Oryzias latipes: one gene and its partners. The protein of the gene in region 1 interacts with the protein of each later gene in a pairwise test. Links are inferred from orthologs where the notes say so. Each region holds a gene or a part of one and is shown in the gene's direction. Other genes may lie near its edges. The genes, in order: RNA-binding protein with multiple splicing, rbm46, pin1, exosc1, tusc2, growth factor receptor-bound protein 2 and pogz.

What was found.
Region 2: the proteins of RNA-binding protein with multiple splicing (region 1) and rbm46 interact in a two-hybrid assay, tested with the Homo sapiens proteins (2 studies listed by BioGRID and IntAct). The two-hybrid records come from large-scale screens. The link is inferred for Oryzias latipes from reciprocal best matches to the Homo sapiens genes RBPMS and RBM46.
Region 3: the proteins of RNA-binding protein with multiple splicing (region 1) and pin1 interact in binary tests that used the Homo sapiens proteins (3 or more experiments, as listed by UniProt). The two-hybrid records come from large-scale screens. The link is inferred for Oryzias latipes from reciprocal best matches to the Homo sapiens genes RBPMS and PIN1.
Region 4: the proteins of RNA-binding protein with multiple splicing (region 1) and exosc1 interact in a two-hybrid assay, tested with the Homo sapiens proteins (2 studies listed by BioGRID). The link is inferred for Oryzias latipes from reciprocal best matches to the Homo sapiens genes RBPMS and EXOSC1.
Region 5: the proteins of RNA-binding protein with multiple splicing (region 1) and tusc2 interact in binary tests that used the Homo sapiens proteins (3 or more experiments, as listed by UniProt). The link is inferred for Oryzias latipes from reciprocal best matches to the Homo sapiens genes RBPMS and TUSC2.
Region 6: the proteins of RNA-binding protein with multiple splicing (region 1) and growth factor receptor-bound protein 2 interact in a two-hybrid assay, tested with the Homo sapiens proteins (2 studies listed by BioGRID and IntAct). The two-hybrid records come from large-scale screens. The link is inferred for Oryzias latipes from reciprocal best matches to the Homo sapiens genes RBPMS and GRAP2.
Region 7: the proteins of RNA-binding protein with multiple splicing (region 1) and pogz interact in binary tests that used the Homo sapiens proteins (3 or more experiments, as listed by UniProt). The two-hybrid records come from large-scale screens. The link is inferred for Oryzias latipes from reciprocal best matches to the Homo sapiens genes RBPMS and POGZ.

Annotation. Positions count from the first base shown.
Region 1 is NC_019876.2:8,063,188-8,067,316, forward strand, and holds the start of RNA-binding protein with multiple splicing, read left to right. Parts: upstream 1-1,329; 5' UTR 1,330-1,688; coding exon 1,689-1,751; intron 1,752-4,129.
Region 2 is NC_019876.2:1,243,565-1,246,489, forward strand, and holds the end of rbm46 (probable RNA-binding protein 46), read left to right. Parts: coding exon 1-132; intron 133-478; coding exon 479-581; intron 582-1,252; coding exon 1,253-1,470; 3' UTR 1,471-1,472; intron 1,473-1,547; 3' UTR 1,548-2,425; downstream 2,426-2,925. UniProt on the Homo sapiens protein: Essential for male and female fertility, playing a crucial role in regulating germ cell development by ensuring the proper progression of meiosis prophase I.
Region 3 is NC_019859.2:22,494,304-22,498,416, reverse strand, and holds the start of pin1 (peptidyl-prolyl cis-trans isomerase NIMA-interacting 1), read left to right. Parts: upstream 1-1,313; 5' UTR 1,314-1,344; coding exon of another isoform or gene 1,345-1,369; 5' UTR 1,370-1,414; coding exon 1,415-1,472; intron 1,473-2,354; coding exon 2,355-2,437; intron 2,438-3,327; coding exon 3,328-3,436; intron 3,437-3,517; coding exon 3,518-3,628; intron 3,629-4,113. Other genes in the region: ubl5 (ubiquitin-like protein 5), read right to left, coding at 73-110, 208-291, 756-817, 1,117-1,220, 1,345-1,369. UniProt on the Homo sapiens protein: Peptidyl-prolyl cis/trans isomerase (PPIase) that binds to and isomerizes specific phosphorylated Ser/Thr-Pro (pSer/Thr-Pro) motifs.
Region 4 is NC_019859.2:28,378,096-28,382,324, forward strand, and holds the start of exosc1 (exosome complex component CSL4), read left to right. Parts: upstream 1-1,429; 5' UTR 1,430-1,506; coding exon 1,507-1,534; intron 1,535-3,367; coding exon 3,368-3,483; intron 3,484-3,749; coding exon 3,750-3,824; intron 3,825-4,229. UniProt on the Homo sapiens protein: Non-catalytic component of the RNA exosome complex which has 3'->5' exoribonuclease activity and participates in a multitude of cellular RNA processing and degradation events.
Region 5 is NC_019863.2:8,091,158-8,095,164, reverse strand, and holds the start of tusc2 (tumor suppressor candidate 2), read left to right. Parts: upstream 1-1,207; 5' UTR 1,208-1,325; intron 1,326-1,903; 5' UTR 1,904-1,993; coding exon 1,994-2,136; intron 2,137-3,576; coding exon 3,577-3,697; intron 3,698-3,786; coding exon 3,787-3,852; 3' UTR 3,853-4,007. UniProt on the Homo sapiens protein: May function as a tumor suppressor, inhibiting colony formation, causing G1 arrest and ultimately inducing apoptosis in homozygous 3p21.3 120-kb region-deficient cells.
Region 6 is NC_019866.2:2,919,979-2,923,973, forward strand, and holds the start of growth factor receptor-bound protein 2, read left to right. Parts: upstream 1-1,195; 5' UTR 1,196-1,466; intron 1,467-2,545; exon of another isoform or gene 2,546-2,753; intron 2,754-3,995. UniProt on the Homo sapiens protein: Interacts with SLP-76 to regulate NF-AT activation. Binds to tyrosine-phosphorylated shc.
Region 7 is NC_019869.2:4,553,673-4,556,382, forward strand, and holds the end of pogz (pogo transposable element with ZNF domain), read left to right. Parts: coding exon 1-39; intron 40-121; coding exon 122-252; intron 253-1,263; exon of another isoform or gene 1,264-1,593; coding exon 1,594-1,888; 3' UTR 1,889-2,210; downstream 2,211-2,710. UniProt on the Homo sapiens protein: Plays a role in mitotic cell cycle progression and is involved in kinetochore assembly and mitotic sister chromatid cohesion.

The DNA of each region.
Region 1 (4,129 bases):
TTGCATGTTTGTGCAAAGCCCAAAAGAAAAGCTGTTTTTCTCCATGTCAGATTTAGCTGATTCCCATTGGTTTGGTAAACGATCATAGAGTTAGGCCAAATCCAGATTCTTCCCCTACCCCTACATTTAGTCCCCCAGACGGAGAGTTATAGAAACATAATGCCTTCAAATTCGGACGTTACTCCCATTCAATAACATCATGAACAGTCGCTGGTCAGCTACGTTAGCACGGAGCAGCTGGTGCTCGGAAATACCTAACAACATGTAAAACGTCAGGCTAAAGGAAAAAGTCATTACTTAGGGCTCGACATCCCTCCGCAGCCATGGGTTAGCCATTAAAAAACTATTTCGGACAACCCTATCCCTCCAAAAGCCCCTACAATTGGAAGGGTAGGGAGAAGCCGTAGGGGTAGGGGAAGAATTGGGATTCGCCCTTATCAAAGGGCGTGTGTTGTTCAGCTGTTGCCAGCGAAATCTCCGATGTTAAAGGGTTGAAAGACCCATCCGCTCATCTTTTGAGCTCTTTTTAAAGCGTTTCCAGTGGTCTTTTAATTATGATTGTACCGTTTTCCAAAACCAAAAAACCTGTGTTGGTTTCTTGGTCATAGTTTCTGCAAAGCGGCAGTAGTTCATTAGAAATTCCCCTCTGACATGTGGGCGGGACTGCTGGCATGGAGCAACCCCGCTCCCCCTTACCCTCCCCGTTGTTGAGAGCTCTCTGTTTACACTCTCTCCCACTACCTTACAAGCCCCTCACACCCCCAACCTGACATTAGCAGTGCAAGAAAAATGGCAAGCAGTGTTACAGCTATACAACCATACCAAGACGTACATGGATTTAGTCGTCTACAAGGGATGCGTCAGAACGGAGCCGCCCACCCAGCGTATTTCTGACATCACAAATACGATCTTCATCTCCTGATTCACAACGATTTGAATTTTTAAAATTCTCAAAAATGTATAGCATAATACTGATTATCTGAAAATAATAATCGAACAAGATAACCAGGACGACAAGCTTTACACGGTTGACACAATTATTCTAAAATTGAAAATTTCTTTATTGATAATGTAGAAATATTTCATACATTTCTTTGGAGCAACAACAACAAAAAAAAGAAACTCAACCTATTGTCCCTGATAAAATAAATAAGCCAGCACATTGAAAGACTATCTCAGGAATGTTGCCGGGACTAAAATAACACGCAGCTGGTCCTAAAGTTGACTGATACTGATTTTCCACTGAAGCTCTCCCTCCACGAGGCTACTTGATAAATCTTGATCGGGCTGCGGCGCATCCCACTCCTTACCCCACCCTAAACCCCTCCCTCGCGCGCGCGGAGATGGGGAGAGAAGTTTGCCTGCGGCTCGGTCCAGCGAGCATTGACTGTTGAGGAGACAGGGGCTTCTGGTTTCCAGGGAATGCTGAGGAATACCCGCCCGCAGGCTCACCTCACCCCGCTTTGAGTGGTAAAGACACGAGGCAGGCAGGAAGAAGGAAGGAACGGGGGGTGGCATTTAGTGGGATTCATGTGGCAAAACTAAAAGTGAAGGAAGCTCGGGTCAGTGGGACAGCGGGCGCGCGCGCGGACTGCCTGTCCTGTCGAATCCAACGAAGGAGCCGAGGAGGAGAGACCGAGACCAGAAGACGACCGTCCCGAGCGAGAGCGACACGAGTGCGGCTCAGGATGAACAACAACAAAACCGAGAAGGAGAACGAGACGACTGAATTCACCAACCACGAAGAGGAGGTACGCGGTTCCACCTTAAATCAGACGCCAGAACTACTTGTTAGGCGGTGTAGCCGCTTTAGCCTTCCCGGCCACCCGCGTTCTACCTGTTAAGGTGAACCCGAGTCAATTAGAGTCGAGTTTATCCTACTAAAAGTTGTCACATCCAGATGTTTGACCTTAACATCCTTATGGTTTCATTAAAGTTAGATGTCAGTCATTCCCTTATATTTTCTTTTTTTTTTTTAACCTTTTTTTTATTTTTTTTTTATTTCTCTTTTGTTATTGGGCTGAAACATAACGTTTTTCAATCAATAAATGTACGTTTATACCCATTTTCCCTCTATAAAGTGGATTTTTTTTTTCATGAAAAACAGCTTTTTTTTTAGTTATAATGTAAAATTTTATAAACGAAAGTTTCGTCCTGGTTCAGTTTTAACTGCAATTTGGGTGAAAACAGGTTTTTGTGACCAAAGAAAATTGGTTTATGGGTGAAAATGTTAAAAAAAATGCATTTCATTTTGAGATCGGCCCCTTCTTTAATGCAATAATTGCTTTACTCATTAAAACATGACTGTTTCTTAATTTGAAGGCAGGTTGTGGGCTACAGTTTACTGAAAAGCCATGCAGTCAGGGAGACTTAGTTCTCACTGAAGATGAGCAAGGCATTGAAGTTCAAACAACTAATGCTGCAACATGTAGGCAATGACTCTATGTAATCCTACCTCACAGTCAAACAACAGGAGCCTCGTCCCGCATCTGGATCTAAACACAACACACTAACGTGTATTTGTCAGAAGATAAACGCTCGGTTTCTTGACCTTGGTTCGAGTCCATCCGCGTCTTTTTGGTTCGGTTTTGGAACCGATTTGCACGAGCTCTTTGTTGTTTCAGAACCCGCCTCTGCACCCGAGGGAAGGGAGGAAGGTAGATCAGATTATTTCTCTTGGAGTAATTTGATTAAAACTCAGCAGAATGTTACTCACTGACTGATAATAACCCAACACACTCGAACTGATGTAAGACTGTGTTTTGTTGGTTACTGTGGAGTCTGTGTACCCCCATAGAGTTAACGAAACCCTGAAAAAAATGCATTTTTATGTGGTAGAGCTCAGGTTTTTTTTCTTCTTTCTGGACAAATAGTAATAAAGATTACTTTTTATCAATGGGACAAAGATACGCTTGTGTGTTTTTAGGTAATAAACTACTTAATGAATCAATACCTGGCTTTTGTCAATAAGATAACCTCCCAATACCTAAAAACAAGAGGTGTCCTGAGCTTCTGTTGGAAAATATTGAGTCATCTGTCCCAAAGTGTTCCAAGTTTGTTTTTTCTCTTACTTATGTAGCTTTTCTCAGGTTAGATTTCACCTTTTGAACCTATTCATTAGTGTTTTTGTGACAGAGGTCTCTGTACCCTCAAGAGTTCCCGAAACCCTTTAAAAAAAAGTGTATTTTTATTTAGAAGAGCTCTGGGTTGTTCTTTTTTTTTTACTGGACAAATAGTAATAAAGATCACTTTTTATCAATGGGGCAAAAAAGGTTTGTGTGTTTTTGGTTAACAAACGACTTAAGCAATCGATAGTTAGTTTTGGCCCATCCGATAACCTCTGGATTGCTAAAACAAAGGGGGTCTAGAGCTTCTGTTGGAATAGAGAAAACTGTACTTGAATGATTTATCCTAAAGGGGCCCAGGTTTCATGTTTTCCCTCTTTCAAATGGAGGTTTTCTCAGGTTAGATTTCCTCTTTTGAACCTATGCTAAATCGGCAGTGTTTTTGTGACGTTGGACATCAAAGAGACCCAACAGTCCTGACGCGAGTAGAAAAATGATTCTCTCGACCTGCGTCCGGCTGGAAAAGTAGTACTCAAGCGGACTCACCGGACGTGAGTTGTCTCGAGTTGCTTTTTTTTTTTTTTCGTAAGAGAGACGGGGAGAGTAATGGCCAGAGGAATCTAATGTGGAAGCATTTTGGACGCCATCCAGACGAGCGAGGACTTAAATTCACTTGAATGGATTAGCGTAAGGTTAGACAGCCCCCACTTTATCTTGGGTGTAATGATGTGTGTTGCATGCAAGAGTAGCGGCAAGGTTGGGGGCTTGGAAGTGAAGCCGAACCCAGTTCTGCACACGTAAATGCGCCTTTTCCCCCCCCTCCTTGATTCATCCAGGCATTAAGCTGGTGTGGAGCTTTCTCAAACGGCCTCATTTTACACATTAAAATGCAGAACCCCCTTCCAGTTTCACTGCAGGCACTAAATGCTTAACAGCTTTCTGCTTTACTGCACCTACGTATCAATAAACTAACCTTATGATGAGCCAAAGTTTAACAGTCTGGTTGTTTGTGTGACTCTCATGCCAAACAACGGCCTCAACGGTCCTCATGCCACCTCCCCTCA
Region 2 (2,925 bases), about 6.8 Mb from region 1:
CTGAAGCCCAGTCAGATCAACTCGGCCGTCACGCTGCTGGAGTACCACTGCCGCAGGAACTGCTGGCCCCCGCCCGAATACCACCTGTACTCCACGCCGGACCAGGACGGGAACCTGCTGCTGCTCTACAAGGTGTTCACACGGATCGGTTACACAACCCGCTACTGTTCTGCTGACATTTCTCATTGCCTTTGTGTTCTGATGCTTTGTGGCTCGGCGCGGACGCGGCAACCTTTGTGCGTCTCTGTAAATGTCAGTGCAGACGCTCGTCATGAACTCCTCAGCTTGATCTTTCCTCTTCTGTTCCCGGAGCTTCTTCTGGAGACCCACCCCCTCCACCGTGCACACACACACACCCAGCCTCCTGCTCAGCAACACACACACACAGTGTCCTCCCCGCCTTGGTTCCTGATCAGACCCCCACCCCTCCACCGGAACAGCTTCACTCTGAAAGCATGACGTCTGTGTGTCTGTGCAGGTGGTGATGCCGTCTGCGCAGGGGACCTTCATCCCCGACAAGCTGTGTCTGCTGCTGGAAGACGCCAAGGAGGTCGCCGCCCACAACGCCCTCTGGAACCTGGGTACACACACACGCATGCACGCACACAAATGCACTTCTACAAAGAAACAAACACATGCACACAGACACACACAGGGCGTGGGGTCCCTCGTCCAGTTTTCATGTGCGGTTAACGGTAGAAAAAGTTGATGGATGTTTTTTTCATAAACAAGCTGTGACCTCGTAAACAAACTCCAGCAGATGTTTGAGGAACCATCTTGATCTCCAGCTGACTCACTTTGATTAGCAAAGTTCAGAACGCAGCGGCGCCACGGCCCTCCTTCAGATTCTAGGTCACCTGAACGCCGCAGGACCATGTTGTCACGGAGCCACTGCTCTGACCCGTTTGCAGTATTGGCAGCTGAGCTGCTGAAAAAGCTGATGCAGCCGGAACCTGAGCTACCTGCAGCTCCCTGGGAGCCTGCTACTGGCTGCCTCTTCCAGAAGGTCTGTGCAGAAGGAGATAAGCGAAAAGTAAAGCAGCACCTGGAGAGCGACGGCAAGAACATCCAGGATTTATAAATCTGTGCTGCCCCACCTGGACACCATGAGCTTTTATTTTGAAAGTAATCTGCAGATTCACACGACCTGCAAAGCCTGAGGCCCAAACCATCGCCTCCTCTCCACCGTGCTCCACAGTCAGAAGGAGGAGGCTTGTTCCAGACGTCTCCTGTCTTGTCTCCTTCTCTCCAGACCTCTACTTTAGCAGAGCCTCCTGCAGGTCCCCCAGCTCCTCCTCCTCCTCCACCCTGTCCCTGCCCGACTCCAGCTCCAGCATCCTGACCTGCGGCGCCCAGCCCTTTCCCTCCTGCCTGTCTCCTCCGCCTCCGCCTCCTTCGCCTTTCCCCACCTTCTCCTCCTCCCCCCAGCCTCAGAGGCTCTTCATGAACTCCCAGTCTCTGTTTTACTGACGGTGAGTTTGTCCTCCTCCGCCCGTCAGAGCCGCTCCGGCTCTCAGGTGAAGCTCCTGCTTTCTGTTCACCTGCAGGAAGAAGAAAGGCGGGGCTTCCTGTTAGTTATGAACGAAGTTCGACGCCATCTTCATCCCTTCATCTCATGTCTGTGTTCAAAAAGAAAGTAAAGTTCCTCCCGTTCCACAAGCTCCTCCTCCTTTGGTTTCACCTGCAGCTCCGCCTGAGCTCAGAAAATCCGCTTGGGTTCAGTTTTCAGGGAAAATCTGCAGATTTTTGACAAACAAAAATCCATAAACATATTTATTTTCAAATAAAAAAATAATGATGATTAGTTGTTTAAATAAAGCTTTTAAAAATAGACATTTTTTTATTTTTTTTAATTTAAACACCCATTTTTACATGTGATTGGTAGAGTTTAAAGGTAAATTCAATCTTTTAAAAAAAAAAGTCTTCGTATATTTTGAAAATAATTTGTTTAGTTCATTTCTGAAGAAGACTGTAGACACTACTGACATAAATGTTAAGATGCATCTTCATCATCATCATCATCAGAGGAGGAGGGGCTTTTGAACAGAGGAGTTTGATGCTGTATTGCAGTTCAAATGAGAGTTCTGCGTTTCTATCGATGGTTCAGTTCTTTTGATGATTCATGAGGCTTTGGTTCATCCATCGCTCACATGTTTGTTGGAAGTTCTCTGCTTTCAAAAACTGTTTTCTTCTTTTCTCAAACAACTTTTCTTTGCTTTAATTTTAGTCCAACTTTCAAATTGACGTCCCAATCATAACTGTGAAAATCAGCCGTATTTATTAAAAACCCAAAGACTGAAGCAGATAAAAAATCAAAAAGTAAATATTCTAGGTAAAAGTGATCATATGTATTTAAAAAATGCTCAAAAATCTATAACCAATGGAAAGAAGTGTTGATTATTAAATGTTCAGCAGATGAAGATAACATCTGTCTGTTGGTCTTGTTTATTTGTCTGTTGTGTGTTTTGTGCGACAAACTGAAATTCTGAGGGCCTGAACAACAAAACTGACCCACTGCGTTTGTGTGAAACTTAAGTCTCCGCCGCCTTACGGGTGGAGACGGCTGTCTGCAGTGAGAAATGCTCAAACCTGTACCGGGTTCACAGGTTGTAGACCCGTACTTATGATGTGGGTTTGTGCGGTTGTCTGGGTCCGTGGAGGGTCGCAGCGGAGTGCTGGTGTGTGTCTTGCAGCTACCTTGAGGCTCATACGGACACCTCACAGGTTGTCATGACAACGGAACGTACCATTGTCGTGCGTGTGGTAAGTGCATCGTGAAGAGTTCGTAAGGATAATGGAAGTTACACGCACTTATGTCGTACAGGTGATGCTGCCGTATGGCGTCCTTATCCCACACTCTAACATTAACCCTTAACGTGTTGTATACGTTTTAGCTACGCCCTGTCACCTGCAGCATGAACGGTC
Region 3 (4,113 bases), on another chromosome or scaffold:
AGAAATTAGAGGGCAAATCGGTCCTTTCTGCATCAGCTTAGTAAAGGTCAAGTCAGTGCGTCAAAAGGATACAGTCACCGAGAGACACGTGATCCTTGAAGATGGTGTACCTATTAAAACAAGAACACATTTTCTAAGTAAAGAAGCCAAAAAGGGCAATGTTCATTGTGATGCAAAGAAGAAAAAGGCAAAGGAAGGCAAAGTTACCATTTCTTTAGTACAATTTTGTCATATCTTGTTCCCGTCTGTGCTGCAATTAGTTTCTTCAGGTCTCCAATTGTGTCCTCTGAGCTGTGCAAGGATGTTGAGGAGCAATTTGGTGACGTGGAAAACCCTTCAAAACAAACACTTCCAGCTTTCATGTCCTGAATGTTTTCAGTCTTTAGATTTTAAATAGAGCTGCATGATGGTGCAATGGGGAAGGCCCTGGTTCCAAACCCTGCTGGGACCCTTCTGTGTGGAGTTTGCTTGTTGCAGAGAAACCCCATGCACTCCGGCTTCCTCCCACAGTCGAAAATACATGATTCATAGGTTACCTGGTTATTCTAATGTAGGCCCAAATGGTTATTCTAATGAACCCCAAATGGGTTCATAAGGAAAGGGTCCATCCATAGCACGGTTACTGTGCTATGGATGGACCATAGCACAGTAACCCCCCCCCCCCTTAACTAATCAGAACCAGCATGTTGCAGTGCAGTATTAACAGCCAAAACATCTTTAGCAGATCAGCAAATCAAATGTGTTCAGAAGGATACTTGCACTTGACCCGGACTTTCTTCCCAAGACGATCGTTGCAAATCACCTCAATCATCGTGTACTGTGAAAAAAAGAGGAGCTAGTAAGCTGAAATATTGGAGTTATGAACAGGAACGACATTAATCGTTCACACCACTAACATTAAGTCAAAAGAATGTGTAATTCATTTTGCGTCAACAGCAGAAACTAAATTGACGATGAAATTCGACCAGCCATGATTTTTTTAGCTAACCCGTTAGCTTGTGCACACAACTCTTTTAAATATATAAAACATAAATTAGATGGCGCCTATTAAGATCAACTTAAGGTTTCAAAAATGTTGCCAGACGTGTTAAAAAGATCAAAAAGTGTAAAACATACGTTAAATGTAGCCCAAGATTGATGGATTTTCTTCACTAGTTGAAACCTTCTGGAAAGCTCTCGGTGCTCATCACCGTAGAATCGATGTCGCGTGTTATTGTCCTCTTAACCAATTAGATAGTAAGAAATATGATTGACAAGAGTTGAAGACCAATAGTAGGACGGACAAGCCGTTTGGGGGCGGGCCAAACTCAGAAAACAACTTTTGCCGTAAACCGACTGTCGTACCTGCTGAGCCGTAGCCGTGTCGCATCGTTTGAACGTTGAATTCTAACTTGATAACGTTGCAGCAGATAACATGGCAGACGAGGAGAATTTACCGTCGGGATGGGAGAAAAGAATGAGCCGTAGTTCAGGTAAATATACATAAGACGGGGGAGGCTGAATGTATGAGCTCAACTGCAGCCCACGAGAAGTTGATTTAGCTTATAGCTAGCCCGTGCATCGTGGTAAGCGAGGCTTTGTGAACTTGTTTCAGGTGAGGCTGTCCTGCTAATGCATGCATCGGGGTTACCGACACGGTTTCTATCAGGAAAAGTGCCGCTGGGAAAATACGGTTATGCTACGGTTTGCTTTATAACTAGCTTTTCCCCCACTTTTTTTTCTAATGGAGATGTTCTGCAGGGCCGCCGTTGCATGACGTCACCTGGAATTTGCGCAGACGCAGCTTAGACCTGATGTCTTGAAAGTATTTTGTGAATATATACGCACAGTAAAACTGACAATTTGGGGAATATTTTGTAAACAAGATCACTTTACATTTTTTTCATATATAGGTAATTATTTAACTTTGAGAAATCTACTAAACTTTCAGATCCCCCCCAAAATGTGATTTATTTCTGCAGATACGTCTGTTTATCTGATTTCTCTTCTTCTTTTACAGAAAATCTGTTTGGGTAGATGATTGCCTTGTAAAAACTTTAGGTGTTTTTTTTTCTGTTTTATTTGTGTGTTTCTTTTCAATGGAGTAAAAAGGAAGGATTGCAAAGGAACAGCTTTTTGCAGACCTATAAACTAAATTGAACACTGTCAGCAGTTGATGCATTGGTTTTATTCAAAACCATGCAACTTCATGACCAACTACTATGAAACAACAATAATACCGATACGGGGAATTGTGAGTGCTTTTGCAGTTTTAGTGGGTAAGGTCATGTAAACTGTAATTTGATTTTTGTGTCTTCTAATGTCTTGGATCATTCCAAAGGTGCTGATCAAACTGCTTTCTTTGCTGTTTGTAGGCAAGGTGTACTACTTTAACCACATCACTAATGCCAGCCAGTGGGAACGTCCTGTGGGAGATGGCCGTGGAGAGCCAGATAAGGTGGACTTCATTTTGTGTGTTTTATTAGCAATACATTTAGGATTGAAATCATAATAAATTCACTAAAGAAGTATTTGTAGAGCTTGTGATAGTGATGTACCGGTAATGATTAGTTTTAATGACATTCATATTAGGGCTGCACCATATGAGGAAAACTCGCCATATTAGTGATCAATATTGCGACGACGATAAAACATTCATGAACAAATAGCAAAACGACTAAAAACATCATTTCCATTTTACTGCAACAGTTTAATTTAAATAAGAGTCAACATAACTTAAATTATACTCCAAATGACCCTCGTCTACATAGGAGGCGAACGTCTAACCTAAGAAAAGCTTCAAAATAAATAAATAAAAGAGCCCCATCTGATTGGTCAATTTATTTGATTCGTTAAATACTCCAATATTTGTTTTAGCACATTTAAAGTAAACATTTATTGCTATTTTTGACGACTTTTGCAATATGCGAATTGCACAGCTTGAAATTGCGATAATGATACATTTGCGTTTTGTTGTGCAGGTCTAATTCATATGATCACTTGTGGTTTCCAGTACGATTTTATGGTCAATATTGGTTCAATCTAACTAACACTTGGTTGTTATTATGTTATAGTAAAGTAAACCGTCCCTTAAGCCAAATGGTATTTCCCGATATGGAAATAATATATTTATTTTAATTTGAAACAGTTTTATAATGTAATAGATCGATTCAATTAACAAATGCCTCAGACAGATTGTTCTGCTTGGATCGTAGGAATATAAATCGATTGATTGATCAGGTCAATTAGTCATTACACCCCTGCACAGAAACATTTTATAACACTTTCTAACAAATAGGTGATGATGTATTGTGTATCTTTTTGTGTTTCCTCCTTTCTCTCTCTCAGGTGCGATGCTCCCACCTCCTAGTAAAACATAATCAGTCTCGACGTCCTTCTTCCTGGAGGGAACAAAATATAACACGAACTAAAGAAGAGGCTATAGAGCTTATTCAGAGTAAGTAAGGCAGAGGACAGAAACACCAGATCTGTTTCAAATCTCTACTTAATCTGTCTTTTTTTTGGTTCTGTTTTCTAGAGTACATAGACGAAATCAAATCTGGGCATGAGTCTTTTGAATCTCTAGCCTCTCAGTTCAGCGACTGCAGCTCAGCTAAGAACGGTGGAGATCTGGGACTGTTTGCCAGAGGTACCAACATCATAATGGGAATATTGGGTTTTCTTAGTTTTAGTTCTTCAGCTTTTATGTAGTTATAAGGTAGTATTGTCCTAATATTTACAGTTTTTTAAGTAAAAATGCTTTCTAATTTTAGTTAAAAAATGCTTAATAATTAACTCTGTTTATAAGGTTTCCTCTCCAGCAAAAGCCTCATAAACTTTTTTACTCTGTCTATTTGTTGGTCTCTCAACATTGCTTTGTTGCATTTGCCAGGACAATTCTTATCACTTACTCTGGCACGGGTTGTCTTTTCTGTTGAATCAACCCACAAATGCCAAACTGAAGAGAAATTACACATAATGCTTATATTATACGTATTAGAAAACATGCAATTTAGTTTTAGTCTTCCTAAAATACCCAATTTAGTCTAAGTTGGCTTACGTCTGCATGTTTGCATTCATGATCTACATTTAACTCAAACCTCATCACCCACCTGATTAAAAAAAAAAGATAAT
Region 4 (4,229 bases), on another chromosome or scaffold:
GCTATTTTTTTTAGAAAAACTGGAGTAAAGATTGATTTTATTTCCCTCTTATTATTTTCACTCATCAGGTTTTTCCTTTGAGTAGGACTACACAAAAGAAGATCAAACACGATCCCAATGACGACATCTCGCTCCAGCCAAATGAAATATCATTTTTTCCCTAATATTTGGAGGACTACAGATTTCTTAGTCGCATTGGTACGTTTCTCACTACAGTATTAAAGTTTGCAGCACTTCTAAGGCATTTCTCAAAACAGATTTTTCAAACTGCAAAACTCGATGCACAACCTGCAAAAGCGAGTCACTCTTTCAGAATGGAAAGTCAAATTCTGGAAAGGAAGTCAGTAGTTAAAAAATGGGTAGTTCAAGCTGCAAAAGCAAATCCCTTAATCAAAGTGGATGAATTGATCTTCAAAGTCAAGTATTTATGTCAGTGAAAGTTTCAGTGTCATCAAAATAACAAGTTATGACTCCAGCATCTTTGAACAATCAAGTCAAAAGGTTTATACATGTTTTCATTGAGACAGATTACTCTAAAAGTGCTTCCCAATACCATGTGAGACAGCATTACATACCACGAATGGCGTTTAGAAAACTGGAGTTTAATAAAAAATGAAGACACTGTATATGCACTTCTGCTGTAGACTCACAAAGGTCTTTTTTTAAATCTCTTTCTGCATGGTTTTCCTGCAATCCAGGCCATAGTTCATATGTTTTAACAGAGGGGAGTGGGAAGGGTGGGTTGGGTTTTTACTGTAATATTGTGTGTTTTCTGTTTTTAATGCTAAAGCGCTTCGAGCTGCACAAACGCATGAGAAGCACTATTTTATAAATAAAGTTTGATTTAATTTGATATGACATGGTTTACCACATGATCTTCAAGTCTTGCCCCATACTGAATGTAGTGACTGACCAAAGCTGTTTGTCTGATGATCATTACACAAACTAAATGACCTCCCTCCCAAAGAAGAAAAAAAAAGAAAGAAAGCAAGAAAACAAAAAAAGGGGAACACCAGTACTTAGTTTGACAGATTATCTCTGCTCATTAAGTCACAAATTCTCTACTTTGAATGGACATTAAATTTGTTGTTCAGAGTTGTTGACATTTGCAATATTACCGTTTGTGCGCAGAACAAAGTCATTTTATTTGAGCAGAATTAACAACTTTGTCATTTATAGAAATAATTCTAAATTAAACTTGCCAACAAAACCCAAAAGACTAATTAGAAACGAGAAAAAAATCGTTTTTAAAAGCTCTTTTTTATGCAGCCCACTTCTAATAAAAAAGTTTTTGTTAAATTGTATAAAATATTAAATTACTTCCAAATAAAATTATATATATATATCGATACAAAATTAACCAAATTATTTGTTTACTGCTACACCGTCACGTTTCATGCCCATGCGCACCTCTTTCGGACACACCCTCCCACTCTGAATTAACCAATCAGAGTCGCCTCGCGCCCGTGAAAAGAGCCAATTGAGTGGTGCGCGTCTTCCGCAAACATGTCTCCCACGAGGCTGTGCGTTCCAGGTAAGTCTCCGTAAAAACCGCTTTTAGCGGTTTTCTATTGGTTTTGTGTGTTGTTTTTTTGTTAATCCCGTTTGTGAGTCTGTCACTGGGACGCCAGAAAATGGCGTAAAATTCTCCGTAGCGGTATAACGTGTAAATGTTGCTGCCATAGCTACGCGCGATTTAGCTCGTCTTTGCGCACTCATCGTTTAGGTAGTAGTAAATTCGTAGATTTGCGTTTGTGTGCATGCTTATATTTCCCTTTTCTTACTTAGTTTGGGCGCGTGCTCGCATTTTCTGAGCTCCGAGACACGTGAGGGGGCGGGGAAGGCTCGACACGTGAAGGACTGTGACTTTTCCCACCCCCGAAAACTATGCAGTCGATCCTTAGGATCACGTGGTTATAGCGGGGCCCCATGTGGTCCCCTTCAGAAGTTCGGACGGGTACAACATTTTAGAATATTGACTATTGAAAGCTGCGTCATGCATCAGCAGAAATGTGGTGTTCGTCTGAAACAGCTTCTAGTCAGTTAAGTCCTGCTGTCTTTGTACAACAGTTCATCATCATTCACTACTGTGTCAAACTTAAGGCCAGGGGGCCAAATGTGGCCCTCCGTGTTATTTTATGTGGCCCGCGGGAGCATGAAAGTTTTTAATTTCTTAAAATGAAATGTTTTTTTAGTTGATTACATATTATTTGTGTAGCTGCAGTTGTAATTATACAATGTTTGCCGGTCTTGTGTGTGTATGCAGACAAATTGTTGTCATCAAACCATCAGTTGGATGCAAGGCTGTGAGCAGCCTTTTATTGTAAAATGTTACACGTGTAATTAATCTTCTTTCTAGCTCAGTTTTAAGTTATTTTTCTTTTTTCACTTGGACAGTTTGAGCGTGGGTTTTAATAAGCAGACAAAATGTAGAAGGATTTATGCTAAATTAACAAGCAAACATGTTTTCTATGCAACTGTAATTGTCACTATAAAACGTTATATTTAATAAATGAGTTATTTAACATTAAGGAGTAGTTACGTCTATCTTTCATTACATTTGGTTACATGTATAAGTTATATCTGGCCCTTTGAGGGCAGCTGTTATGCTGATGTGGCCCTCAGTGAAAATGAGTTTGACACCCCTATACTAATCAGTATTTACCTGTTTAATCAATTTTGAAAAGACGTATTGAAACTGTAGTTGGAAATGTGTCTTTTTAATAGTGTAAATATTGAAACAACAAAGCATTTAATGTTAAACTAGGAAAAGGTGAACATCCTGAGGAACCTTTTCAATAATCGGATCCAATATACATCTTGAATGTTATATTTGTCATTTAAACTAATGGCAGAATAAACAAATGTATAATTGCAGATGTCATGCCCCTCCACACACATGGAATGGACTCATAAATGAACCTTTGAATCTGAGCTGTATTTTACATACTTAGAGCCTGAAGATTATTTCACTAAACATTCAGTTATATATATATACTCTAGCTCCCCTTCCAATATACTATTTATGAAATCTCTATAATATTTATTTCCTTGTTGGAATTCAAAAACAACAATGTAATAAATAATATTGTTTATTGTTTGCTGTTTTGCATATGCATATGTATAAAGGAGCTTTGTGCCTCTGCTGTGAGAAAAACGAAGCAACTATTGCAAAGTTTGCAATAATTTCAAATGGAAAATTATCAATATTGAAAGAAAAACAAGAGGGGGGGGGCAGACACATGACAGGCTCTGATTGATTGAACACACCTGATCAGATAATCTGCTCTAGAAAACAGGTAAATCCTGTGGTTTTACTGTGGTTTGGCAGGAAGCCCCACCTTCATTCTGACCATCTGTGTCTCAGGTGACAAACTGTGCAGCGTGGAGGACTGCATTCTGGGAACTGGAGTGTATCTGCGGCACGGCTACATCTACTCCTCTCTTGCAGGCTACGTGCTGAAGAAGAATGAGGGGGAGCAGGTGAGGAGGGGTGGATCTAGCAGAGTTGACTTGTTGACACATCTTCCAAGTCTGTAGTTAAGGGGATTTTCCTTTAAAGAGAGAGAGTATTTTGTTTTAATTTTTTTCAAATTTGGGGACAAACTGTAGTTCATTTATCGTCCAGCCTTACCATTAGCCTGACTCCACCCACCCTCTAATCCAGAGGGATCAAAGTTTGGGATGGAACGGGGTGATGACGAGTCTGGTCCGCACTGGTTCTCGTGCACGTTTGTGGTGTTTTACAGTTACCTGTGATCTCTGTGGTCAGAGAAACAGAAGTCCAGCTGTTGCCAGATGTGGGCGCCATCGTCACCTGTAAGGTAGGAGGGGGGGCTGACACAGGTGGGACCTACACTTTTAGCCTCATTAGGAGATTTTTCCAGGACTTTGTCACATTCATGGTGCTTGTTTGGTAGCGGAATTGTTTGCAGATTAGAAATATAGATTATCATAGATAATTAATTAAATTTATTTTTTTAAACAGAAGAAAGTGCGATGATGACAAAATACATGTGGTAAATGGATTCAGTATTCCTGCCTTTGTCTTTGCTGTTTTCCTGCATGTTTTTAAAATCATAAATAAATAAAAACATCATAACTAAACTCACAGCTGTAGACTCCCTTCTAGTCTAAAGCAGCTCCACATTTGAAACTGGGTTGCATTTAGCATCACAGTTTGACATCTTTTCTGTCTGTTGCTGAACCACAGGGAGACTTTCAAAATC
Region 5 (4,007 bases), on another chromosome or scaffold:
TAAATAAATAAATAGGGCCCCCCTCCCCGTACCTAGACCCCCATCACTCCTTTCACAATTCCCACCCCTTAAGTGATGGCAAGGACAATGAGAAATAGGTTGAGCACAAAAACAGGATGCTGGAAACGCTGATAAATGGAACCTCGCCCTCTGTGAACAGCCGCATAGACAGCCAAATGCAGCATCACAGGCGGGGACCGCTCCACCACAGCTAAGCAGTGATGCAGGTCCCCATCTAGAGCTGCAGTGGCTGAACAGCCGCCGACCCAGAGGGAGAGGATCCAGCTGAGGAAGCACCGGAAATAAAATTGAATAAAAATGAGAATAAACAAGTAAACATATTGATAAAAACAATAAAACAGTAAAATAAAGTTAATTAAAATAATACGTTAAAAATCAGGTTCAAGTTCATAAAACAAGATAAAATGGATATATAAATAAATAAAATAAAAATAAAAAGTACATATAAATAAATAACTGAATAAATAAATAAATAAAAGTAGTAAAAAATTAGCTAAAAGCCAGGTTAAAAAGATGGGTCTTGAGCCTTTTCTTAAAAGCATCAATGCTCTCTGCGGCTCTCAGGCCCTCTGGCAGACTGTTCCACAAACGGGGGCCATAATGCTGAAATGCAGCCTCTCCATAGGTTTTAGTTTTTACAGTAGGAATGGTCAACAGACCAGTGCCAGAGGATCTCAGGGTCCGCCAGGGTTCATATCTTACTAAAAGATCTGATAAATAAGAAGGCGCAAGACCGTTAAGACATTTAAAAACGGTTAAAAGTATCTTAAAATCAATCCTGAAGCATATGGGGAGCCAATGCAGGGATTTTAAAATTGGGGTGATGTGAGCTCGCCTCCTGGTCTTTGTAAGAACTCGTGCAGCAGAGTTCTGGAGAAGCTGAAGGTTCCTAATACTTTTTGATTTGATGTTTACAAATCGTTCTGATTAGTTCCAGAATTCAATGGAGAATTTACAAAAGTAGAAAAGGTGAAAAACCTTTACATTTATTTATTTATTAGGGAATCATTACAAAAACTACTGTTATTTATTTGAGAATTTCAATACAAACACATTGGTGGGATAAATGTTATGTCGATTTTTTAATGTATTTCTTTAATTTGGTTATGTATAGAAAATTTATCTGGCATGCTTTTTTACCCAATTGATATTATTGAAAAGATTGACAGATAAAACTATCAAATTAATGGCCTACATTTTTATGACGTCACGTCCTCCCTAGGATCAAAACAAACAGCGCTAGTTAAACAGCTGGCTACAAAGTCATGGCTGAACACGGAGGCCAAAAAGGATACAACAAAAAGGTGAAATAATATGAGCTAATATTTTATTTCTGTTTCTATCAGAGTTTATGTTTTGGTAGACCAAAATGTCGAGCGGGAAATCGTTCATTAACGAAAGCTAACCTGAGCATGTCGAAGCTAGCCAGCTTACTGGGTTGTGTTACCCAAACAGAGAGAGGCAGGTATCGTTAGCGACTTATCAGCTATTTAACATGTTACCAACAGTCAAATAGCTGAGATTAATAGTTTAAAAAAGTCAGAATAAATGCTGGTTCTCTTGGCTTTTTTGTTTATGTCAATTAATGTTGAATTTGACTCATAACGTTACTTACTTTTATGACCCAGATAGCGTTTGTTTGAGCTAAAAGATTCCATCTGCTCAGAAGAAAAAATATATGATTAGTCTCACCCGTTTTGAGTTAATACGTACAAGATGAAACTATTGATTACGTAGTAAATCATCTAGAAAATTCTATAGCGGTCCATGTTAGCACGCGACGGTTAAGCGCTAGCTAAGAAGAAAGGCCAATAATTCTCTTTTTTGCAGCCAAACGAAAAGGAATTCATCCAATTCTTTTCCTGAACTGTCCACACTTTAGGTCCTCGACTGTGCAGACATTTGAGCTGAACCGCGGTACCAAACTGACCGAAAGCTTCTTGAGGAGATCAACGATGCCTTATGTCTGAGAATGGGAGGAAGTGGGTCCAAAGTTAAAGGTGTCTGGCCTTTCTCAGGCAATTCAAGTGATTCAGGCAGTGATGGAAACGAACAGTCTCTGGCCCGCCTAAAGGGTTCCAGGAATGCAACACCATATGTTTTCACAAGAAGGAGGTAACTCTTAAACAGCAGCAAACATGGGACTCTTTAATGCTGGACTATTTCTCTGTGGGGAAAAAGGCTTATTGGAAAAAGGACATTGCATCATTTAAAAAGCTTGTTAATTACTTAAGATATCTGTGCCTCATTTATAAGTAACACACATTTGTTGTGTAGGCTAAAATATGGTTTGTGCCAAAATAAATGTCCTAAATTTTCTGTTAACACAATGTGTCTAATATATTTTTTTTAATCAGAATTTGTCTCAAGGGAACCAACAGGAACCACTTTGATCCCGTGTAGTTATTGAGGTGCACTTCCGGATTGTTTTCAGGCTTTTCCTTTAAATTTTGAAAATATCTCCGGGAGGGGAAAAAAATCCTCATCATTCTACATTGAAATTGTTTCAGTCTCTTTCAATAAGAAGGATGCCGCACCCCAACACTGCCTCCTTTTAAAAACATATATAAGTGCTTAAACCAGCAGAGCATTTTTTGTGTCTTTTCTGCACTTTGCTTTGAGGATGCAACTACTTTATGAAAATCTGAACTCGGAGCACAACGATCAGATACCTGGTTGGGTAAAAAACAAGAATTCTCAGCAAAATAGTTGGTTCAGCAAAAGGCAGAAAAAATGTGGCAATTCATTTTTTTTTAAAAGTTAAACAACTTTTTCTTTTTTTTTGTCCAAATGTAATGTTGGGCTGGGCAATAAATCCATTTTATTGATTAATTTAAATTTTCCTTTTAAGATTTGTTTTTGGAAAATCAGGATTTTCGAAAAAATCTGCTAGCAAAGAGGAGCTTGTTTCTGCTGTTCTATGGAAATTGTTCCCTTTTGTGACTTCAGATTTGGAGCAACGCTGCAAATCCTGTTTGAAGGCTGTTGTTACCAAAAGTGGGAGTACGATAAATTCATTTCAACCCCTGAAACAGAGAGCAGTTCTGCTCTCTACAGCAGCAGCTCTCAAAACAACTGCCAGATTGTTTTACAAACTTTTTGTTTTAGCTTTTATTTAGTTGCACTTTGAATTCAGTTTAACTCCCAAAGGAGATGTTAAAATAAAAGACTGTTTGTTTCAAAAATATATTCTTTTATTTTGTAATTTTTGTCAAAAAAAGTAAAGGGAGGAAGAGAAGAAAAAAAACAAGTAAATTCCTAAATCAAGTCTGGTTCTAATCTAAAATATCTGAGATTTTATTTTTGGCTTAATGGCCCAGCCCTAATCTGATGCAATTTTAAAGGGAAATAAATTGGATCAGGCATAAATTGTTGAGAAAAAAAGATCTGTAAAATATGAAAAACATATTTAAATAATTAGCTTAGAGAACAGAAAAGGTTTGGCTTTTTTGTAATTAATTGAAAAAAAGAAGAATTTCCACAGTTAAATTCTTAAACCTCATACATGACCTGACATGACAATTAGAGTCTAATGTTTATCTTCCGTTTTGACAGTTCTTTGTACTATGACGAGGACGGCGATCTAGCTCATGAGTTCTACGAGGAGACAGTGGTGACCAAAAATGGCAGAAAAAGATCCAAGTTGAAGAGAATACAGAAAAACCTGATTCCACAGGTGAGCTGGGAACACTCGGGTATGGTTTGGGAATGTTTGATGAGAACATTTTGAACATGAAAACTGTTTTTCCTTTCCTCTCTATGTAGGGAATTGTGAAGCTTGACCATCCTTGTATTCATGTGGATTTCCCCATTGTCCTCTGTGAGGTGTAAGGAATTGTCCAGGACTGAAGTGAGATGATATGCTGTCGGTCACAATTAAAACTACATTTATTGAGATGTTTTTCTTTTAAAACTGAAAATCTGGCCCCAAATACTGAGGAGAGCGTGGAGCTGTCATGTTAAACTTAAATGACAGAAATTCTACA
Region 6 (3,995 bases), on another chromosome or scaffold:
TCCAAAGTTATATCAATTTGTTCAGTTCTAGCCATGAATGCATGCATTACATTTTCTCAGTCAAAAAATGTGCAAGTAATAGGTAAACGCCTCTCTCTGAGCTAGCCACGCCGTTCAAAATCTACAACTTCTAATTGCAACATCTTCTCCACAACTGCTTTCGAATGATGGCCGAGAAGTTAGGAAAGGATCGATCAAAATCCCTAGGACAGGTTTTCCTTTGTATCTGGTCCTAAAGGTGCTTTAAAAAAAAAAATTCAAGATGGCTGCCTTTTTCCAAGGTGAAAGGTTGGCAAAATTCCAGGGGTTATGGTAGACTTGAGATAGTAGTATGTTCGTAAAATCACGTCAAAATCGCTCTAAATAAAGTTCATTTTCCCATATTGTGGGAACAAAAAGTACAAAATGGCCATCGTGTTGCCATCCCATAATGATTTCAAAACTTCTTTTGGATATCCCCGACAAGTGTAAATTGGTGTTGTTAGTGAATTGTAACTTTTCTTTCCCCGAATTTCATTTTTCAGCTGAGTCAGCGAATTTATTTGCAACATTTTTTTATTTACCACGTCCAAAGTTTTAACACTGTCATATCGCATGTTACATTTTTGCGTTCAGCTTGAGTCAAAGAATTCCTGGACACCCTTTTCAAGACATTCCGGAAAAAAAATGTGCGAGCTAAGATCGCAACAGTTGCAAACCCACCACGCCCACGCCGGTCAAAATCTACAACTTCTAATTCCAACATTTTTGGAATACAAGCCTTTATCAGCTTGTATCGTAAACACATCAGATGATTGAACCATCTCATTTACATATCTTTGCATCTCCCAGCTGTAGTGAGGTGCAAAGCAAAACATTTTTATGAGTCTACCATGAGCTGACGCGTGTTTTTATTTCTTCACTGCAAACAGTCCAACATTGTGAGGCATTGTTTTAACGGCTGGCCTGCACACACACCTGCACGGCTTCCTCCCAGCCTTGGCTTTGCCTCACCTGTCTTGCGCGCACAGATAAGTGGGTATTTGTCTTGTGGTATTGAGTAACTGAGCGAAGGGCGGATGTGAGGTATCCACCTGCAGCTGCAGCACAAAGAGAGCGGTTTGGAGATTCAGGTCAGGCACTTTCAGACTTTGCTGCATGCTGGTGTTGCAGAGTGCAGCTCAGGAGGCGTTTAGCCCGATGCTCTGTGCTGCTGGATCTCTGGAGGCAAATGAAGTTTCCCTTTGCAGGACGTCCTGGCCGAACAAGTGAGAACAAGCCATGCTGAGGTTTACGAGAGCGCGAACAGATGTGAAGGACACGCACCAACCAAACAACGTGTCGCCAACACTTTGGCATCTCAGGAAAAACACCACAAGATCAAACGTGTCATCACAGATGATTCTAGAGCAGGGGTCTGCAACCTGTGGCTCCTGAGGCACATGTGGCAATTCCTCTGTGGCTCTCAAATATCTGCAAAGTAAACTGTAAGTAAGAAGTTAAGTTAAAAAACAAACAAACAGACAGTTGAAAGATTTCAACGGATTAAATGTTTTTAAAAAATACGGTGAGAGTCACTTCACTTGTTCTGGTTTATTTTTTGGTTTGTTTGACAAATTTCTGACTGAGATGCACCACAAGCGGTAAAATTAACACTTTAAAAAACACTAATGCTGCTGAGATGAACCTAAACGATACAGGGTGTATTTTATTTTGAAAGGAAGTCATGTGACCCTCTGAAATTAGTACATTTTCTCTGTATGTTTTATTTATGCCATAAAACAACAGTTTGTTTATATTTATAAAAACAGTAACATAAGGTCAGTGTGTCAATTTTCTAAAGGGTGAATCCAGACTTTGTGGCTTCTTTAGGTTGTAGTTGGGAGCAGCAGTTATTTTTATTTATTTATGTATTTTATCCGTATTTTTCTGAACTGTTTTAAGCTGGTGACAGGAAGATGTCTGTCTATGTTTGAACTGTTTTCTGAAAAATATTTACTTGTAGCTTTATTTAAAAAAAAAACAAAACAAAACAGTGTATTGACTGTTTTTTTAACAATTTCTCGTCTGTTTTTGGGGAGGAAGAGACGCTGTTTGCCCTTCCAGGACGAATGAGTAAATTTGCATGAGTAAATATACTCTGAAGAACATTTACTATCCGCAGCTCCTGCTGTTTCCTTTTATCTGCTTTAAAAAATGGCAAACCTAGAGACGAGAAAAGAAAAACCTAACAAGTGAAGTTGAACAGTTGCCAAGATTAACAAATCAGACTAAATAATTATTAACTCTGAATGACTAACTAATCAAAAAATTCAATTTTATGAAGACAGCAGCTTTTTTTATTGTAGGAACTCATTTAAATGTTTGAAAAATATTGTTTTATTTTGAAATAAACATTTGTAGAAAAAATATTTTAAAAAAGCAAATTCTGTTTTAAAATGCATTTCATATTTGAAAACTAAAATATATAAATGAAAAGTAATATTTTTGCCTTGATACATGCGAGTGGCATAAATGACGTGTAGGTGGCGCTGTTCAGAAACCCCAGTCTGTCTTTTATTTTGGAAGGTTCCAGGAAGCGGCGCGAATTACTTTGTAGAAGAGCGGCTGTGCTCACGCGGGGACTTGTCAAATTAAGCCGCGCTGTCAGGGAGCGCACGCGCCTCGTTTGTTGGCTTCGGATGCTGCGCTGCGGACGCCGCTAACTTCTCGGGTGTGCTGCGGTCTGACCCGCGGAGGGAGCCGGTGTCGGGTTCGGAGCAGTGTCCGGAGAGGTGAGCAGAACAAAACCGAACCGCGGTCTTTCTGTCATCTGTGTGCCCAAACGCCACATTTAAGAGTGTTTTTAAACCGCACGCGGACTACTTTATTTTGAAGAGCACCTTCGGTGACGGAGAGTGGCGGAGGTTCTCTGAGTTTAAACAGAAATGCCAGCAGCAGCGGCTGCCCGCGCTTGAATGTAAATGTTGTTCCCCTCAGTTTGGGGAAGTAGTGCTGTGAAATAGTGTTTAACAAAAAGAAGAAAAAAAAAAAAGAAAAAACGCGCGCGGACGCCTTTTGGGTCGCACCTTTGACACGTTCAGCCCGATGTGGGCCAGGTGTGAGATCGGGAACCTAACCTAACCCGACCCAACCCGGGCTGGAGCATCAGCTGATGGAGAGAAACCTGAGCAAAGTTAACACAGATGAACTCCACAGCTGAATGGCGTGTACCTGTCTGTCTGACACACCTGTCTCACCACCATCTCCGCGTGCGTGGAGGAAGTGTTTAAGGGGGGTTAAGAAAACTCCAAGTTAATAAATCTCTTCTACAATACTATGTAGTCACTTTCAAATTGTAATGGATTACTTCGTTCTAAAGTAATCCATTTCTCTTTCTGAATGTGGTACACAAATACTACATTGAGATTACTTTACTACAGAAGTATTTGATCAAATCTGAGGTGACAAATCTAAAATATTTGTCATTTTTAAGCCTCAGCATAAAGAAGTACTCTAGAAGTTTATTTTATTAAGTGTAGCAAGAATACTGTGGAGTATGTAGTGTAGAAAGCAAACTAAATACTACTTCAGATTAAATTGGAACATTAAAAGTAAACTTTACAGAACATTGCCTCGCTTTTAGTAATACTTGTAGTACTCTTAACGTGTAGTTAATACAAATACAGTTGATTTACTTAAGAGTAAACAGAAAAAGTGCTGCAGCTTTGAATGTGAGCTCTGTCAAATACAGAAACCACAGGCAAAAGTTTTTTTTTCATCCTTGAACGCCTCGCTCTCTCACCACATCGAACAACCATCAGTTCCTTAAGAAACTCTAATTACTGGACATTTAACGAGTAAAATATTAATGAATAGGATTAATAAGTATTGAACAAGTTTGTAACAACACAAACGAAGGAGTTGCTGTACTTTTTGTTATTCCCAACAGCCTCACTGCCAGTTTCAGTGTTCATCTATTTTTAAAAACAGGATTTCTGCCGACAGTCGAGAAGCAAACATAGCCGCGATTACAG
Region 7 (2,710 bases), on another chromosome or scaffold:
GACGTCTGCGTGGCACAAGTCCTGCGAGATCACCTGATGGTACTGCCTCCCACCTGCGTCTGACCCCGCCCACCCTTCAGACTCATCAACGCCCTCTGTCTTGTTTGGTGATTGCTTACAGGCTCGATGGAACCAGCTCGTCGCAGAAGGAGGGCTGGACGGTCTGGGACTGGACCAGCTGGCTCTGATGCTGGCCTGCTGGGTCAGCGAGGCTTCCTTCACCCTGAACTCCAAGAAAAAGATTTTGCACAAGTGAGATTTCCTAAACCCAGCAATTCTGTGATATATTGCTATTTATTTGGCAATAGTGATATTGATTTCAAATGCTGCCAAAAGGATTTTAATTTCAGTATTCATGAGCAAACATGCAGTTTCAATGTCTTACTTTGTGTTCCACCTAAAGTAAAGCAGACGTTCACTCATTAGTCTCACAGTTGTTGTTGTTATAAAGCTCAATTAGACACCAACAACTCAGTTTAATCAGTGATGATGGGTACCAGAACTCTGCCAAGTTGGGACCGACCCATACCAAACCACTGGTACCGTATAAAAACGTGGATTCTGCTACTTCGTTTGGGACGGGTCGGTCACTATTTAGTGTTTCTGTACTATTCTAGCCATTCATTGAGTGAGAGTTCATCTGTATTTCACAATAAAAGATTCTAATATAGCCACCTGATGGACAAGAGTTACGTGTTCTATCATCTGATAAAAGGCAGTTGCCGTGGCGACGAAACCCACCTTTGTGAAAACGGAAAAGCGGTGCTGCAGTGCAGACTGTCAGAAAGAAGGAAGTAAAGTATCTGAGGCAGATTCAATCGCTCTCCTTTCCCATGATGCGCTGTTTTGTCACACGTAAGCGTCTTTGGAGAAAATTGGCGTGTTTTAAAAAAAATTTGTTTTTTACTTTTGGAGCACAGGTTCATTTAAGCACCAGAACTGTTTTAAAAGTCCCCATTTAGCACCGGCTAAAACCCAAACGGTACCCATCCCTAATTTGAGCAGAAATTTGAGATTTTTTTCATTGTTTCTATGATGATTTCATCCACCAGCTTTTGTCACATTCGTAAGGTTCAGTGCTTTGAAATCAATAGCCCTTTATTTTCTTAACCCATACCTATTTAACCTTATTGATTAAATTACTGTTAAGTTTGTGTTGTTGTTTTTTTGACAGACTGAAAAATAGTTTGTTGTAGAAACCAGACAGTGTTGAAAAACTGAATATCTTAACTTACCAAAATAAAAGCACCTGGGGCTTACATGTTAACTAAAATGTTTTTTAATTTTATTCATGGAAAAGTGTATTAGCATTCAGATAGTTTTGCTCTTTTAAAATTTGTGATTTTATTGTCTCTGTTACAGTCCTGTTATATGGATTGTGTCGTGATCCGCATCATAACGGCAGACTCTTGCTAGTCTTCATGTGCGTTCTGCTCATTTATAGATGGACTTCCTCTTTGTTTATTTTCTCATCTGTGAGCTTTGAAACAAACAGACGACATTTTCCGTTCGGGCCCCTGCTGTGTGACCGCGGCGTTCGTCCCTCTGGGGCCTCCGTAATGACGTCACGTTGCTCTGTTTCCGACCCCTCAGATCCTTCAGTTTGACCTGCAGCCTGGACCACTCGGAGGCTCCGGGGGAGGCGGCCAGGATGATCACGGCTCTGAGCGAAGCCCTGAACCAGCCCCCCGAGGCCGAAAAGGCAGAACCGAAAGTGACACCGTCGCAGGTGAAGGAGACGAAGACGGATCAACGTGAAAAAGAGGCTCCTGAAATGAGAGAAAATGAGGAAGAGGAGGAGCTTTGCATCAGAAGCCCTTCACATCTACGGCAGGTGTTTGATGGGGACAGTGATGAAGAGTCATTTCCTGGTTTCCCAGACTGCTGAGGCTGCGTCAGGCTTTTATTTTGAAATACCGATGAGCCTGGACCTGCTGCTGAGGAGCCTGTTAGTCTCTACAAACATTCAAAAGATGAAATTCCAAAGGACTCTGAACGAAGCTGCTAATTTCATGAATTAATATCTCTAAACAAGACGTTCAGAACTGACATTATCCAATTTAAATCTTTAGAGGTGATGTTTTTCTTCTCACTGTTCCAGGGCGGGACCTGGCAGTTACTCTTTTCTATATGTACAGCTTATTTTTGGGAATCATAAAGCGTTTGGGGTCTTTTGTAGCAAATTAATAATAAAAAAACAACAACAGTGACTTAAGTTTGTTGTATTTACTGCAAAATTCATCGTCAGCTTCTATATTCTGATTTCCATACAGAGTTATAAAAAACAGATTAAACTGGAAACACGAAGGAGGTTTATCCACGTCAGCTGGAATTTCAAAATTAAAACGTAATCTGCAGATTGGGGTCGGCGTAGCCTGCAGAAGCTGATGTATAAACCCAACACACGTTGACCTCTGACCTTGTCTGCATCCAACATCCCCGCTGACACTTAAATATAGCAGCCATGAGAACAAAGTCACTTTCCCAGCATGCTCAGAAGCAATACATTGACCCCCCCACCCCCCCAAAGGATGAGGGGGACCATCTGGAAGATGCTCGATGGGAAGGTATTTAAATCTCTTTAGAGACGAGGATCAATCCTGTGAATTCCTTCAGAATAATAACCGATGGTCCCAGCACTGATTTTCAGAATAAGAGCCGCCGATTGGTGTTAATTGGACGAATTCTCTATTTCAGTTTTTTTTCTGCG